2 linked regions of the Oryctolagus cuniculus genome follow. The protein of the gene in region 2 binds, or shares a complex with, the protein of the main gene of each other region. Links are inferred from orthologs where the notes say so. Each region holds a gene or a part of one and is shown on either strand. Other genes may lie near its edges.

Region 1 (7,606 bases), on a different chromosome or scaffold from region 2:
TGCCTGTAAAAAAAAAAAAGAAGAAGAAGAAGAAGATGGCCCAAGTTTTTGGGCCCCTGCACCCGCAAGGGAGACCCGGAAGAAGTTCCTGGCTTCGGATTGGCTCAACTCCGGCTGTTACAGCCATCTGGGGAGTGAAACAGCAGATGGAAGATCTCTCCCTCTCCCTCCCTCCCCCTCCCTCCCCCTCCCTCTCCCTCCCTCCCCCTCCCTCCCCCTCCCTCTCCCTCCCTCTCTCCCTCTCTCTCGCCCTCTCTGTAAGGTGCTAGTTTTCATATGCCAGCTGCTCCACTTCTGATCCAGTTCCCTACTGTGGCCTGGGAAAGCAGTGGAAGATGGCCAGTGGAAGATGGCCCAAGTGCTTGGGCCTCAGCACCTGTGTAGGAGACACGGAAGAAGCTCCTTGCTCCTAACTTCAGATTGGCACAGCTCCGGCCATTGTGGCCAGTTGGGGAGTGAACCAACAGATGGCGACCTTTCTGTCTGTGTCTTCCTCTAACTCTCTCTCTCAAATAAATATATAAGAAAATATATCTGTATAACATGTCATTTGGTTCCCATAGTCACCCTGTCAGGTGGCCAGAGTTGTTCTTAATCCACAAATCTCACTTAGGCAGAGATAAGTAGAAGCTAGCTTGTCTTCAATTGTATGTTTACTAGAATCTTGGGCTGAAGTCCTAGTAAAGCCTTGTTCATTGCTGCCTCCTTGAGCTGACAATTGTGAATACTCCGGTGCTGATCCTCTCTGAATTCCACAGGTCTCCAGCATCAATTCACGTTTTGCCAAAGTACACATCCTCTACGTGGGATCCACACCTCTTAAGAACTCTTTTCGAGGAACTATCCGGTAAGAAGTATCCTTGTCCTCCCCCACACACGCTGCCTTTCAAGTACATAAATAAATCTGTAAGAAGAAGTATCCTTGTTGTGATACTTGCCTCAACACCTGGAATGAGATTAGGATAGACAGGACAACTGGAATTTTTAGGAACACTTACAATACCTGCTCATGCCATCTTTCTATCTTCTTTGTACTTTGATTCTCCCCATTAATATCCAAAGAACATGTTATATGAGCTAGGATGAAAGGAAGATACTAAAAAGGATTTTAAAAAGATTAAGCAGAGCTGAAGATTGACAACGTTAGGCTGATTTGAACCAAATAAAGTACAAAGCATTTAAAGAAGTATTTTTCTTTATTTTTTTTTTTTTTTAAGATTTATTTATTCATTTTCAAGTCAGAGTTACACAGAGAGGAGAGACAGAGAGAGAGACAGAGAGGTCCTCCATCCGATGGTTCACTCCACAGTTGGCCGCAACGGCCGGAGCTGTGCCGATCCAAAGCCAGGAGCCAGGATCCTCCTCCCGGTCTCCTACGTGGGTACAGGGGCCCAAAGACCTGGGCCATCTTCTGCTGCTTTCCCAGGCCCTAATAGAGAGCTGGATCGAAAGTGGAGCTGTTGGGTCTTGAACTGGTGCCCATTTGGGACAGCGGTGCTTCAGGCCAGGGTGTTAACCCATGGCACCACAGCGCCGGCCCCAGTACTTTTTTTCTTGAACTTAGTATTGAGTAATCCCAAAGGTTATAAGATAATGAAAGGATTTGTTTGTGAGGTGGTATATTTTTTCCAATGGATTCCTTATAGAAAAGACAAACAATTATTACAGGCCAGATAACAGGGTTTTTTAAATTTATTCGCTTCATCTATTTGAAACACAGGGACAGAGCGATCTCCCATCCTCTGTTTCACTCCCCCAGTGCCTGCAGCAGCCGAGAGTCAGGAGTTCAATCCATTGTCCCACATAGGAAGCAAGGACCCAACTACTTGAGCCATCACCTGCGCCTCCCAGGGTGCACATTAGCAGGAAGCTGGAATGGAGAGCGGAGTGGGGACTCTTAACCCGGGCAGTGCAGGATAGGACATGGACAATCCCAAGTGGCGGCTTTACCACTGCACCAAACACCCACCTCAGATAATTCGATTTTGCAGGGTCTGGTGTGGTTCTGTGGCATTTCATTCCAGTTCTCTTGAAGCAGCAAAGTTCCTTATCTTTTCCTGCCGCCTCTGATCTCTTTCTGTACTCAGAGGTGTTGCTCCTGCTGCTCTGCATGGCCTGACAATGGGCAAGTGCTTTCTCCCGTGGGCGAAGATGCCTCCCCCCCTCGTTCTGGGTGGCAGCTGGCTCCCGTCAAGACTTGTTCCGTCTGCTCTGAGAGTCCTTCACCTGCTAGGAACCTTCAGGACAGTTTTTCTCGAAGATAATTAACCTTTGGTGAACTTTTTTTTTTTGTAGGAAGGAAGATGTTCGAGCCACTGAAAAAGACAAGGTTGTTGGTTGGTTCGTTTTTCTCTTCCATGAATGAAGCAATTGAAATCCTTTACAATTACTCACATTTATGTTAATTCATCTGACCTGAGTGGGGCTAGGTTTGCCCTTAAAGCCAAGTATTTATTCATTGCTGTCCCCTCAGATGTAGTCCTGGATCTTTCAGAACCAACTGCAGTACCTCTTATATCTTTTCTTTTTCTAAAGATTTATTTTATTTATTTGAAAGAGTTACAGAGAGAGTTAGAGACAGAGAAAGATCTTCCATCCACTGGTTCACTCCTGAGATGGCTGCAGTGGCTGGAGCTGCGCTGATCCAGAGCCAGGAGCCTCTTCCAGGTCTCCCACGCGGGTACAGGGGCCCAAGTAGTTGGGCCATCCTCTACTGCTTTCCCAGCCCACAGCAGAGAGCTGGATCGGAAATGGAGCAGCTGGGTCTTGAACCAGCGCCCACATGGGATGCCAGCGCTTCAGGCCAGGGCGTTAACGTGCTGCGCCACAGTGCTTGCCCCGCCCTTTTTTTTTTTTTTTTTTTTTTTTTTTGTAAGATAAATATTTACTTGAAAGACAGCTACATAGAGAGCTGTCTTCCATCCCTGGTTCACTCCCCAAGCTGAAGCCAGAAGCCAGAAACTCCAGGTCTCCCATGTGGGTGGCAGGGGCCCACATACTTGAGCCATCCTCTGCTGTTCTCCCAGGCACATTAGCGGGACCTGAACTAGAAGTGGAGCAGCAGGGACTCTAATTGGCGCTCAAATGGGATACAGATATGTGTTGCAGGTGGTGGCTTAACTCACTGCACCTCAAAGCCAGCCCCTATAGTACCTTTTTATAGTAAATTCAGTAGTCTGATTCCTGATTGGATTACTGAATTCAAAATCTGATTTGTATGATGTTGACTGACAGGCTATGATGCCTTCTCCCCGCTGGGGTTAGATAGGCGACAAGCTCTCCCAGAGGGGCTAAGGATTCTGTGTGGCTCTGATCCAGAGCTTCACTTAACACCACTATGCTTTCTTCACAGGTTGAAATATACAAGAGTTTCCGTCCAGGGGACATTGTCTTGGCCAAAGTGGTATCCTTTATTCCCAGCAGACTTCTGGTTCTTCGTGAAGAAGACATGGAACTAGAGAAACAACCCAAGTGGCTAAGGGGGGAAGACTTGTAACCTCTCATTTTCCTTCACCGCTGTTGTGTGACTAGATCTCTCTAGGTGACGCCCAGTCCAACTACCTGCTGACCACAGCTGAAAATGAGCTGGGAGTGGTGGTGGCCCATAGTGAGTCAGGTGAGTTGGTCTACACTTCTACATTCTGATTCTTCCTTGGCTGGTATGGTTTGGGATCAATGCATTAATTTTCTGACTTTCCCTAGTTTGTCATTGTTTGGGAAGCAATATAAGTGTAGGTACCATGATGCACTGCATAACAGCATTTTGGTCAGTGACAGACTGCATCTGGGCTGGTGGTCGCATGAGATTATCACCTAGTGATGTTGCAGCCGTACATCCTGTGATGTTCACACAACTATGAAATCGCATGCCCCCATCAGGTGATGCGTGGCTGTGCTTACTGCAGAGATGAGATTCTGCTAGCCCTAAGGAGGTGGGACTCACTTCATAAATCATGAGATAAACACGGTTTTCCCGTATGAGGGGAGGTTTGCTGGTAGCCTGGTAATACTTCAGCTTCGTACCCATCTGAAAGAAAAGGGCTTCAAGCAAACATCTGAGGTCCCAGCTGCAAACCCAGCTTTTCCCTTCCAGGTGTCCAGATGGTTCCCATCAGCTGGTGTGAGATGCAGTGCCCTAAGACCCACACTAAGGAGTTCCGGAAAGTGGCCCGCGTGCAGCCTGAATTCTTGCAGACCTAGGAGGCCATGGTGACCCCCCGGAGGGCTCAGCTGTTTCTGAGAGCATAGGTATGAAAACAGCACCCGGATGCATTGTCTGTCGTCAAAGGCCAGGGTCAGCCAGCACTGCCCGAGAAGACTCGACCAGGAAACTCATTGTGCAGATGAAGCCTTCCTGTGAGTGGATTTCCCTCCCTCGAGTGATGACATTCCTCCTCCGGGGGCTCAGTAAACTGCGAGCTGTGGCCTGTGGGAAATAGCCTGTTCCTCCCGACAGTGTATCTTTATAAATGTGTATATTTTGCTGTGATCAAGAAAACATTTTTTACTAAAAGGATTTTATTACAGGCTGCTGTTGTCTTGAGCTGGGAAAAACCCCTGAATGTGTCATAACGTTTAGAGCAAGGCTTTGCCGATGGCGCCCACTGATCGACGGGTGTCATTTGCTTAGACGAAGCCTGAGCACCAGCCTCTTTTGCATTGTTTTGAGTTCTGTTTTAAATGCTTCTGCTAACTGCTCCAGGCTCTAGGTACACCCCTCACTTCAGTACATTACGGCACAGTGAAAACTGTAGCACGGATGGGCTCATCCAGGTAGCACGTGAATAGGTCTGCAGAGTATTTGGTGAAAATAGGGTTTCTGATGTACTGGGTACTCCAGGACTGGGTGACCCATCGGAATTGAAAAGACGGACAGAGCTTTCACGTGAGGTGGCCGGGAAAGGAATGACAGAATTTGGAGTAAAGTGAAGATATTCGAGGCAGACAGCAGCCCTAGCAAAATGCAGAAGCCGAAATGCAGGGCCCAGCTCGAGTGAGGAAGGGATGGAGTCAAGGATGGAGGGGTTGCAGCGCGGAGGGGAAGGGCGGGCCTCAAGTGGCGCTGCTGGGGACATCCCTCGGGCCGCGTTTTCAGTGTTCACCCCCCAAAGGCTGAGGGCAAGCTTTGGAGTCAGCCTGCTGGGTGTGTCCTCACATCCCCTAGTTGCTAGCCACAGGCAGCTGAGGCTGGGTCATTTGTTTAATTGAAAATTTGATTGTGATAATGATAGATCCACGTGCAATTTTAAATACAGCAGGACCGGTGTCATGGTGCAGTGGGTTAAGCCGCCGCCTGTGATGGAATTTGTTTATCCTATCATTAGGGAACTGATGAAACAGCTACATCAAAGCGGCACAAAGCCTGGCATTTAGTAGACACCTGAAAAAAGGCAATCAGACAATAAATATAACAAAAACAGTAACATGTCCTGGGTACTTTTATGCATTTCTTCCTCATGATCATACCATTCAGATGAAGGAAAAGTCTTAAAGAGATATAAACAATTTGCTCATAGTTGTGTGAACATCACAGGATGTACGGCTGCAACATCCCCATATCCCTATATGAGCACCAGCGAGTCGCAATTGCTCCGCTTCAATCCAGCTCCTTGCTAATGCACCTGGGAAGGCAGCAGAGCTGGCCCAAGTACTTGGACCCCTGCCACCCACAAGGGAGACCAGGATGGAGTCTTGGGCTCCTGGCTTCAGCACGGTCCAGCCTCAGCTATTAAGGCCATTTTGGTGGTGAACCAGCAGGTGGAAGATACCTCTGCCTTTCAAATAAATAAATCTATAATAATAATACTGGCTGGCGCCGCAGCTCACTAGGCTAATCCTCTGCCTGCGGCGCCGGCACACCAGTTTCTAGTCGTGGTCGGGGCGCCAGATTCTGTCCCGGTTGCCCCTTTTCCAGGCCAGCTCTCTGCTGTGGCCCAGGAGTGCAGTGGAGGATGGCCCAAGTGCTTGGGCCCTGCACCCCATGGGAGACCAGGAGAAGCACCTGGCTCCTGCCTTCGGAACAGCACGCTGCGCTGGCCTCAGCACGCCGGCTACTGCGGCCATTGGAGGGTGAACCAACGGCAAAAGGAAGACCTTTCTCTCTGTCTCTCTCACTGTCCACTCTGCCTGTCAAAAATAATAATAATAGGCCGGCGCCGTGGCTCAATAGGCTAATCCTCCACCTTGCAGCGCCGGCACACCGGGTTCTGGTCCCGGTCGGGGCGCCGGATTCTGTCCCGGTTGCCCCTCTTCCAGGCCAGCTCTCTGCTATGGCCAGGGAGTGCAGTGGAGGATGGCCCAAGTGCTTGGGCCCTGCACCCCATGGGAGACCAGGAAAAGCACCTGGATCCTGGCTCCTGCCATCGGATCAGCGCTGTGCGCCGGCTGCAGCGGCGGCCATTGGAGGGTGAACCAACGGCAAAGGAAGACCTTTCTCTCTCTGTCTCTCTCTCTCACTGTCCACTCTGCCTGTAAAAAATTAAAAAAAAAAAAAAAAATAATAATAATAATAATACTGAGTGATCCCTCTTACACTTTGCCCAGTTTTCCATAACAACCAGAATGTTGGCGCTGACACTTGAGCAAATTGTTTATATCTCTTTAAGACTTTTCCTTCATCTGAATGGTATGATCATGAGGAAGAAATGCATAAAAGTACCCAGGACATGTTACTGTTTTTGTTATATTTATTGTCTGATTGCCTTTTTTCAGGTGTCTACTAAATGCCAGGCTTTGTGCCGCTTTGATGTAGCTGTTTCATCAGTTCCCTAATGATAGGTATTTTGAGACTTTACAGATTTTGTTAGATGGCACTAGGGAGGAAACCCTTAGCCATTTTTATTTGTGTGGGCCTGTGATTCTTCCACAAGACAATTTCTAGAAGCAAAATGCTGATTAAAGACTGTGTAGACACTTAAAATTTCAGTTTAGGCCGGTGCCGCGGCTCAATAGGCTAATCCTCCGCCTAGCAGCACCAGCACACCGGGTTCTAGTCCCGGTCGGGGCACCAGATTCTGTCCCGGTTGCCCCTCTTCCAGGCCAGCTCTCTGCTATGGCCCGGGAGTGCAGTGGAGGATGGCCCAAGTGCTTGGGCCCTGCACCCGCATGGGAGACCAGGAGAAGCACCTGGCTCCTGCCTTCGGATCAGTGTGGTGCGCCGGCCGCGGTGGCCATTGGAGGGTGAACCAACGGCAAAAGGAAGACCTTTCTCTCTCTCTCTCTCTCTCTCTCTCTCTCTCACTGTCCACTCTGCCTGTAAAAATAAATAAATAAAATAAAATAAAATAAAATAAAATAAAATTTCAGTTCAGTTCTTTCCAGTACTTTCCTGGTGTTAGCAACTGAACATCAGGGTAACCATTGTATTTATGCTCCTCTGCACCTCACAGTGACCCTGGAAAGACCATTTCACAAATGAATCTACTCCCGAGTCACTTAGCCATCAAGTAGCAGAGCCGTATTCAAACAAGTCTTAGGTTAAGCTGACAAGCTCCTCTCCCCTGAGCCGTTGTTGAACAGAACCAGAGGCGTGCCGTTAGAGAGCCTTCATAGTCAGACAGGCTCCCTGGTCATGAGCGCATGCTGGACATTGTTCATTCAATAAGTA
Region 2 (7,369 bases):
GGAGTGTGAACCTGGGACCTAAGGCGGGGGGGGGGGGGGGGGGGCGTGTGGTCCTACTCCCCAGAGCCTACAGCGGCGGGAAGGTGGCTGGCCCCGGCCCGAGCCTGCCTGCCTACTGGCCCTTCATCCGGCTGTTCCCACGCAAGGATTAAAGGTTCCCACACTCCCACTGTGGCTTTAGGATCTGACTCAACGCTGCCCTTCATCCCTTGCCAGGCCAAGATCAGCAGTGGAGCCGTCTAGGGGAGGCTGTGCCTGGCTGGCCAGGAGCCAGCGTCGTCACCTTCCTGCCCTCTGCAGCCACCCCTTATCAGAGGCCAACCAGGGGGAGGCCTTGGGCAAGATCCGAAGGGGGCTCTTCCGGTCAGGAGTGCAGCGTTCTTAGGGACAGCTGCATGCGTGTTTCCCCCAAGTCCAAGGCCAGCGAGTCTGGCCCGGGACAGTGGCCCCTTCTCATTCACTTCCACAGCAGCTGCGGTCACTGCGACCTGAACTACAAGCTGCACGGAGAAGACGTCCCCTACAGGTGGGTGGGTCCCACCTGGCAGCCCTCTGGGCGAGCCGCATTCCCTCTGCCCTGTCCTCGCAGGGTGTACGAAAACCAGAGGATCCCCCTGCTCATCAACCATGTGCCCGTCAGGATCCGGAGGACCCATGCAGGCATGGGGGTCAAGGGCAGCTTTGGCCCCCACAAAGCCTCCAGGAATGGCCCGCTGCCCCCAAGGCGGATACAGCGTGAGTGAGGGGGCAGTGGGGAGAAGCTGGGCGGGCGCACACGTGGTGAGGACAGGCCAGGGAGCTCTGGCAGCACTGCCCTCAGCCTCTGTGCCGGGCGGCCACCCACCCTGGCCCCTCTCCCTGCAGCCCAAACTGGGGAGCTGCACTCCATCAGGGAGGAGCTGAGCCAGATCAAGGCCCAGGTGGACAGCCTGCTGCAGAGTCTGGAGCGCATGGACCCGCAGAGGCACCAGTCTGCAGGTCAGACCCCGCTGTAAGCCCAGCCCACGCCCAGTTCCTGAAGATAGGGGGTGGGGGTGGGGGGTGCCTGGAGCCCTGCCTCCGGTTTTCCAGGCTCTCCTTGGGTGGTCCTCTCCCCATTCGCTCTGGCTCTTCCTGTGGCTCCAGGGCTGTCCCATCACCCCCACCCTCTCAGCAACTTTCTGGAGGCAGAACACTGCCCAGGCCATGCGCCTCAGGACCTAATCAGAGCTGGGCATCAGGTGGCTCCCTGGACCAGCTGGGACCTCTACTGACGGGTGCCTCCCTTTGCACAGGGACGACGGACAGTGAAGAGACCAGGGGTCCAGGCAGTGAGAGCGCCTGGTGCCGAGGCACTGAAAACCAGTGGGAGCCCAGGGGCGAGGCCCGGTGCGCAGAGGGACAGTGCCAAGGCAGGCACCAGCACAGAGCAGGCAGTAAGTGGCCTGGCTCCTCCTCCCCATCTCCACTTGCTGGGGTCCCCGTGTCTCCCTGTGTGCACGATCAGACTGAGGCCTGTACAGGAGCGTGGGGTGGGGGTGGGGATTAGGACTGTGACCTCAGAGGCAACACCCTGCTGTTTATCCCAGCTCTGCCCTTGGGTCTGCTGAGAGAGCAGGCCACATGGAGAATGCTCTTTTTCCTGGTTGGTCTGGATGCCCAGAGACTCAGGGAGTCTAGCTCCTGACACGATGGGCTGGGTACTGTGTTGGCAGCCAGTCCTGCTTGTTTTTTCCCACAGGTGAAGAATCACACATCAGACCAGGAGGGCAGTGAGTAGGTGGGAATCCTCCCTGGCCTGCCAGCGCCAGGCACCTTCTTGTATTGTTTTGAAGGCCTCCTAGTGGCACCCATTTTGGAGCTGGGGCAGTGCAAACGGAGGCACAGGGCTCGGCCAGACCAGCGGGAGAGCCCCTCCCTGGGGGGAGGGGGTTTCCAGATGGTGGTCCTAGGGCTGGCGGGGCTGGGAGACAGGCTGCCTGAGACCATCCTGGTTTGCAGGGGCACCTGAAGCACCCCCTCCCCACACACCACCAGGGCTGCCGGGTGTGCAGCATCAGGCTGCAGTCGTCCCCCAACAGCTGCTCCAGGCACAGTGGTGCACAGGAAACACACCTGTGTTCCCACAGTCTCCCCTCCCCGCCCAGTTGTAAAGTCCTGGGTCTCTGCCCTACATGGGCCCCTTTTGCTTCCGACTGTCCTTTCCAACAGGGACATCCTTTCTCTGTCCTGTCCATTCCTATCTTGTCTTTCACTGGTGTGACACTGTGTGTTTGCAGATCTGCTGTCAGAACAGAAAAAAATAAAAATTGCATTTCTTCTGCCAAAGGACTGTGGTGTGGCCCCAGAACTTCACCCTGGTCTTTGGGCTTCCCCCAGGCCAGCCCTTCAAGACAAGTTTAGCAGGTCATCCAGAGCTGGGTGCCCGGCCCTCCCCACTGTGGTCTCCGCTGGCTCCCTCGATTCTGTTAAGCCCAAGCCAGCAGGGTTCAAGGAAGACTCCCCTCCTGCCATACAGCGTAGCCATGCTCCTCTGCTTTCCCAGAAGCCAGTTCACCCGCCCTCTCCCCAGGGGCTCAGGCTGGACAACGGGCAGATGAAGGCAGCCCAGGGGCCCACTCAGCGGCAGTGCAGGCCTTTGACTGGACTGCTGTGGCCCTGGCCACGGAAGGCTGGGATCCGGCTTCCACCCCCAGCAAAACCCTTTCCAGCTCTCGGGAACCCTGCGCTGGGGCCTCTCGCGGCACAGCCATGAGCTCCGGGACCCCCGAGTGCTCCCGGGCCGTCCAACTCTCCTCCCGGCGCAGCAGCCGCCCTCACGGGCACCGGAGGCGGCGGCGTGTCTTCCTGCCAAGCACACGGCCCACTTCTAAACCCGCAGCTGCTTCAGGATTCTGGCCCGTCTGGTCGGCTCACCGGTCCAAGGGACACGACACAGGCGGGGCAGTGCTGTCCTGAGCCTCACCGCCAGGGAGCCTTGCTCTCTCTGAAAATCCTGTACTAAGAACCACGACACGCGTATTTCGAATACAAAAAAAAACGGTTTTGTTGTTTCAGTCCCGCTGTGAGAAGGCGCAGCGCCCTGTCCATCGTCTCCGGAGTCACACAGATCCCGCGCTCCGGACCAGGCCGGCTCAAGTCCTTCCCAGCTCGGGAGTAAGCAAGCAGCCCGCGGCTTCCTGCGCTGGCTTCTGGCTGGGGACTGGAAAGATCGTCAAACGTTCGTCTGTCGACAGCCGTTCCAACGCAACTGTCCATCTCCGCACGCTCTGTCCGCTCGCGGCTCCACTTCGCCCGCCGGCTCAGGGCAGGGCGGCGCCCCTGCGGCGGGCGGCCCGCACCAGGCACTGCTGCAGCACCGGGTAGAGTCGCTGGCAGCCCTCGAGGCCCAGCCGCACGGCTTCGGCCCAAGTCTCGGTCGCGTCGCCCTCCCCGCTGCCCAGCAGCCCGGCCACCTGGTTGAGCACCGGCATGAGGGCCACGGTGAGGCCGGCGGCGGCGCGCTCCTCCTCCAGCCGCGTCGGGTCCAGCAGCCAGGCGGGCGTGGGCCCCTGCGCGCGGCTCAGGCCGCAGCCCACCACCAGGTCGTACATCTCGACGCCCGCGTCGGCCAGGGCGAGGGCGGCGGCCGTGAGGGCGGCGGCCAGCGCCGAGCCGCCGTCCTCCAGCAGCAGCGCCGACACCTCGAGCTGCGCGCGCGGGTAGCGGCTCAGGCGCACGGCCGGCTCCAGCGCCTCCTGCAACGCCAGGGCCAGCTCGCGCTCCTCGCCGCCGCCCGGAGGCGCCCGGCGCCGGCGGCCCGAGAAAGGCGCACGGCGGAAATCGCAGACCAGGCGGCCGCGCAGCGCGGCCGGGGCCTCGCCGCCGGCGCCGGCAGGGCCGCTCCCTCGCTCGCTGCCCTCGACCTGGCGTGGGCCCGACACGGCGCACAGCACCTTGGTGCCTCCCGCCTCCAGGTAGGCCGAGCCCTTGGCCTGGCTCAGCAGCCCGGCGCGCGCGTACACCGGCCGCAGCCGCGTCGGGTCTCGGGCGGCGGGCTCCTCTTCCTCGTCGGCGGCGTACAGCTGCGGCGGCTGCGACTCGTCTGGTCCGCGGATGCGGCGGTGGTCCCCGGGCATGGCGGCACCTGGCGAGCACACCGCTTCCGCCCGTCGTCCTACCGCGCGCTCCGGCTCTTCCGCCCGCTTGAAGACGCGCGCTCGCGCGGGGGCTGTCGGGAGAGCCGCAGGCAGTCGCGGCTGCACTGCCCCCTGGCGCCGTGGAGGGAGAACGGCTGCGGCGCCAAGGCTTTGAAGCCGCAGCAAGGTTGCCCAGGGCTGGACGGGCCGGTTGACTGTCTCCCAGGCCAGGTCCTACCCGAGCGCTTAGTCTTCTCACTTATGCAGGCTGTAGTTATCTTAGTTTTGCACTAATCTGTGGGACTATTTTATATGTCCCCACCGGGGAGTTGGCCTTGCTCACTCCCAAGCCCCTGGCTGGCACGAAGGCCTATATGATGGATGGAATCTCTCTCCAGCACTGGCTTTATGTAAGTCTCTTTGTATCATTAACACGGACATCAACACCCCCTTTCTGCCTCCCCTTCCCACCCTGAGAACCGCCCCTCACCCCAGCATGCACCTGCTTTTCCTTCTCCCTCCACTGTCAGCAGCACCGTGACCTGGGCTCTGGGGCCAGCCGCTGTATCCAGAGGACAGGACATCCGTTGGGGCTGGCACAGGCAAGCAGTACCTTCACCTTCCAAACTCTGCCATTTTAGACTTGGGGAAACTGGACTCAGAGACCGGCCAGTGTCTTTGGGTCAAGTGGGAGTGATGGGCAGACACTAGAGTAGGAGGCAATAGCTGCACCTTAAACATCTTCTGTACCAGAGACTGCCCTCCAGCCTCATACCCTGACCCCACATGAAGAGCTTCAGAGGGAGGGGAGGGACATGAGCCAGAGCCGCCGCCTGCAGGGCTGGCATCCGATGTGAGCACCAGTTTGAGACCAGCTGCTCCAATCCAGCTCTCTGCTATGGCCTGGGAAAGCAGTGGAAGATGGCCCAAGTGCTTGGGCCCCTGCACACGCGTGGGAGACCTGGAGGAAGCTCCTGGCTTCGGATCAGCACAGCTCCGGCCACTGCAGCCCTTTGGGTAGTGAACCAGTGGATGGAAGACCTCTCTCTCTCTGCTTTTCTGTAACTCTGCCCTTCAAATCAATCAATCTTTAAAAGAAAAAAACAATGGAGGTTCTCCAGGCGCACCTTTGCTTTGTAACCCCTCGGACCACTGAATTATTAGAGCCTCTCTCTCCATCTCACCCCCGTCTCCACAAACACTGAGTTCAAGGGTTTAGGGCTGGACTGAGCTGGAGTCAGCATGTTTTACACACCCTCGGGTAGCCAAGAGCTGTCAGCAGGGGTGCATGCTGGGAGGTAATGACCAGAAGGCATCAATGAGTATTGCACATGGTCCTTTATTCTCTGCAGCACAAGTGCCCACCTGCAGACCCAGAAGCCTCGGGTCAGCAAAGAACTGCATTTCTGGATGTGAACTTGACACAGGTAGACAGCGATCCTGGGCCAGTGGTTCTAGACGGGCAGTGCCAACGTGCAGGCCTCCGGGCAGAAATATCAAGGGGGACCGAGGCACAGGACAGCTCCCAGGGGTGTCCAGTTACTGCTGGGTTAGGAGGACGGATGGCTGTTTGCAGGTCCCAGCATTCAGGAGTCTTTGTGGCAGACGGAGATCTCTGGGCTGGACTGATGCAAACGGGTGACGGGGAGATGGCTCCCAGGGAAGCTGCCCCTGCTCTAGTTCTTCACATCTCCCAGGCGCAGCTGGGCAAAGGAAGTGGCCAGCTGCAGTGCCTCCTGTAGGCAGCCCACATTCTTGCCCGTGGCCTGGGCAGACATGTCCTTGCCACCACCTTTGCCATCCATCAGGCCCGACACCTGCTGCACCCACTCACTGGCCTTTAGGCCCCTGTTGGCTGCATTCTGGAACACAGGAAGGCGAAGTGGGAGTCAGGACAGAGGATGGGATCGCAGGATGAATGGAGAGAAAGGAAAAGGATGGGAGCCACAGACACCCACGCCTGCCCCAGGTGACAATGCTGGAGGCTGAGAAACGCCACAGCTGGTACAGGAGGCAGTCAGTGGCCACCGTTAGCATGAGTCCAAGCCAGCGGCAAGGCTGGGCAACAGCCATTACAGTTAAACACATTCACCAGCGAGACAGGAAGGGTGGGGTCCCGGTGAAGGTGACCAGCAGGTGGGCAGGAGGCCCACTACTTCTAACCGGGCTGCACCCACATCCGTGGGCATCGGCAAACAACCCGAGGAACCCAGCTCCCTCTGAAAACCCCAGGCGGCATCTCCCACTGGCTGCGGTGGCTCTCACCTGGGGGACCTGACATAAGCACGTGATCTTGCCAGCCTCGTTGTCCACCGTGAAGAGCATGGCAGACGTCTGAGGGGAATGCGTCTTGAAAAGCTTCAGGGCTTCATTCAGGGCCTGTGGGAGGACCGGGGTCAGGCCACAGCCCTGCTCGCCACAGAGCAGCCTGCAAAGCGCAGCCCTCGGAGTGTCCCATCCCTCCCAGGAGGGGGCCCTGCCACACTCTGGCTCGGGGATTTGTTTCCCGCCTCCAGGGAGCTGCTCCTCCCTCCAGCCAGGAGCCAGAGCCCCCCAGCCGGCCGCTCGCTCCAGGGTTCAGCTGAACCTCAACCCCGGACAGGGGCCCTCAGGAGCCCACTCGGCTCGGAGCCACTAAGCCCACCCGTCAGCCACCCCTGGGCTGATGAGACCCGCAGGGAAGGGAACACGTGATGGTGAGGGTCAGCCCCTGGGTTGCCTTGGCCGAGGCGCCGCTCTCCATCTCCAGGATGACGAGGGGTTGGTTGGGGTTGCTGTCGATAAGCTGCTTTGTCTTCTCCAACACCTGCAAGAGGTAAGTCCGGAAGTCAGGCTCCGGCCAAAGGCCCAGACCCCAACACCCTGACAGCAGTCTTGCCCGCCGAGGAGGTCCTCCAGGCTCCTGTCCAGCCTGCCGCACCGCAGGACTCACTCGCTTCTGCACGTCGGCTTTGCTGGCTCTGTCTAGGTCATCCATGATCTTCTTCAGGGATTTCAGAGTCTCCCGCAGTTCGTCCTTCTGCCACTGGGGGATGACTGCCGCGGCCAGGGCCTAGACCCAGAACAGAAGACCATCTGCATCTGGCTGCACGGAGCTCTGACGCGAGGCTCCAGCCCGCGCACCCACCCTCTGGCTTGGAACCCGAGTCCTCCCTGAGCAGTGTCCAGGAGGAGAGAAAACAAACACGACGGTACGCAGGGGCCTTGGGCACATGGTGAGCGACCGCAGCAGCTGGAACAAGCTGAGTGGAGAGGGAGAAACTGCACAGACG

The links. Proteins that work in one complex are often made in the same cells at the same time.
Region 1: EXOSC6 (region 2) and EXOSC1 share a complex: the UniProt entries of both Homo sapiens proteins name them as parts of the RNA exosome core complex. The link is inferred for Oryctolagus cuniculus from reciprocal best matches to the Homo sapiens genes EXOSC6 and EXOSC1.

What each region holds. Positions count from the first base shown.
Region 1 is NC_091446.1:32,402,555-32,410,160, forward strand, and holds the end of EXOSC1 (exosome complex component CSL4), read left to right. Parts: intron 1-758; coding exon 759-847; intron 848-2,295; coding exon 2,296-2,329; intron 2,330-3,352; coding exon 3,353-3,403; intron 3,404-3,531; coding exon 3,532-3,616; intron 3,617-4,093; coding exon 4,094-4,200; 3' UTR 4,201-4,529; downstream 4,530-7,606. UniProt on the Homo sapiens protein: Non-catalytic component of the RNA exosome complex which has 3'->5' exoribonuclease activity and participates in a multitude of cellular RNA processing and degradation events.
Region 2 is NC_091449.1:56,937,995-56,945,363, reverse strand, and holds EXOSC6 (exosome complex component MTR3), read right to left. Parts: upstream 4,172-7,369; 5' UTR 4,098-4,171; coding exon 3,282-4,097; 3' UTR 3,001-3,281; downstream 1-3,000. Other genes in the region: AARS1 (alanine--tRNA ligase, cytoplasmic), read right to left, coding at 5,774-5,959, 6,363-6,476, 6,817-6,903, 7,030-7,149. UniProt on the Homo sapiens protein: Non-catalytic component of the RNA exosome complex which has 3'->5' exoribonuclease activity and participates in a multitude of cellular RNA processing and degradation events.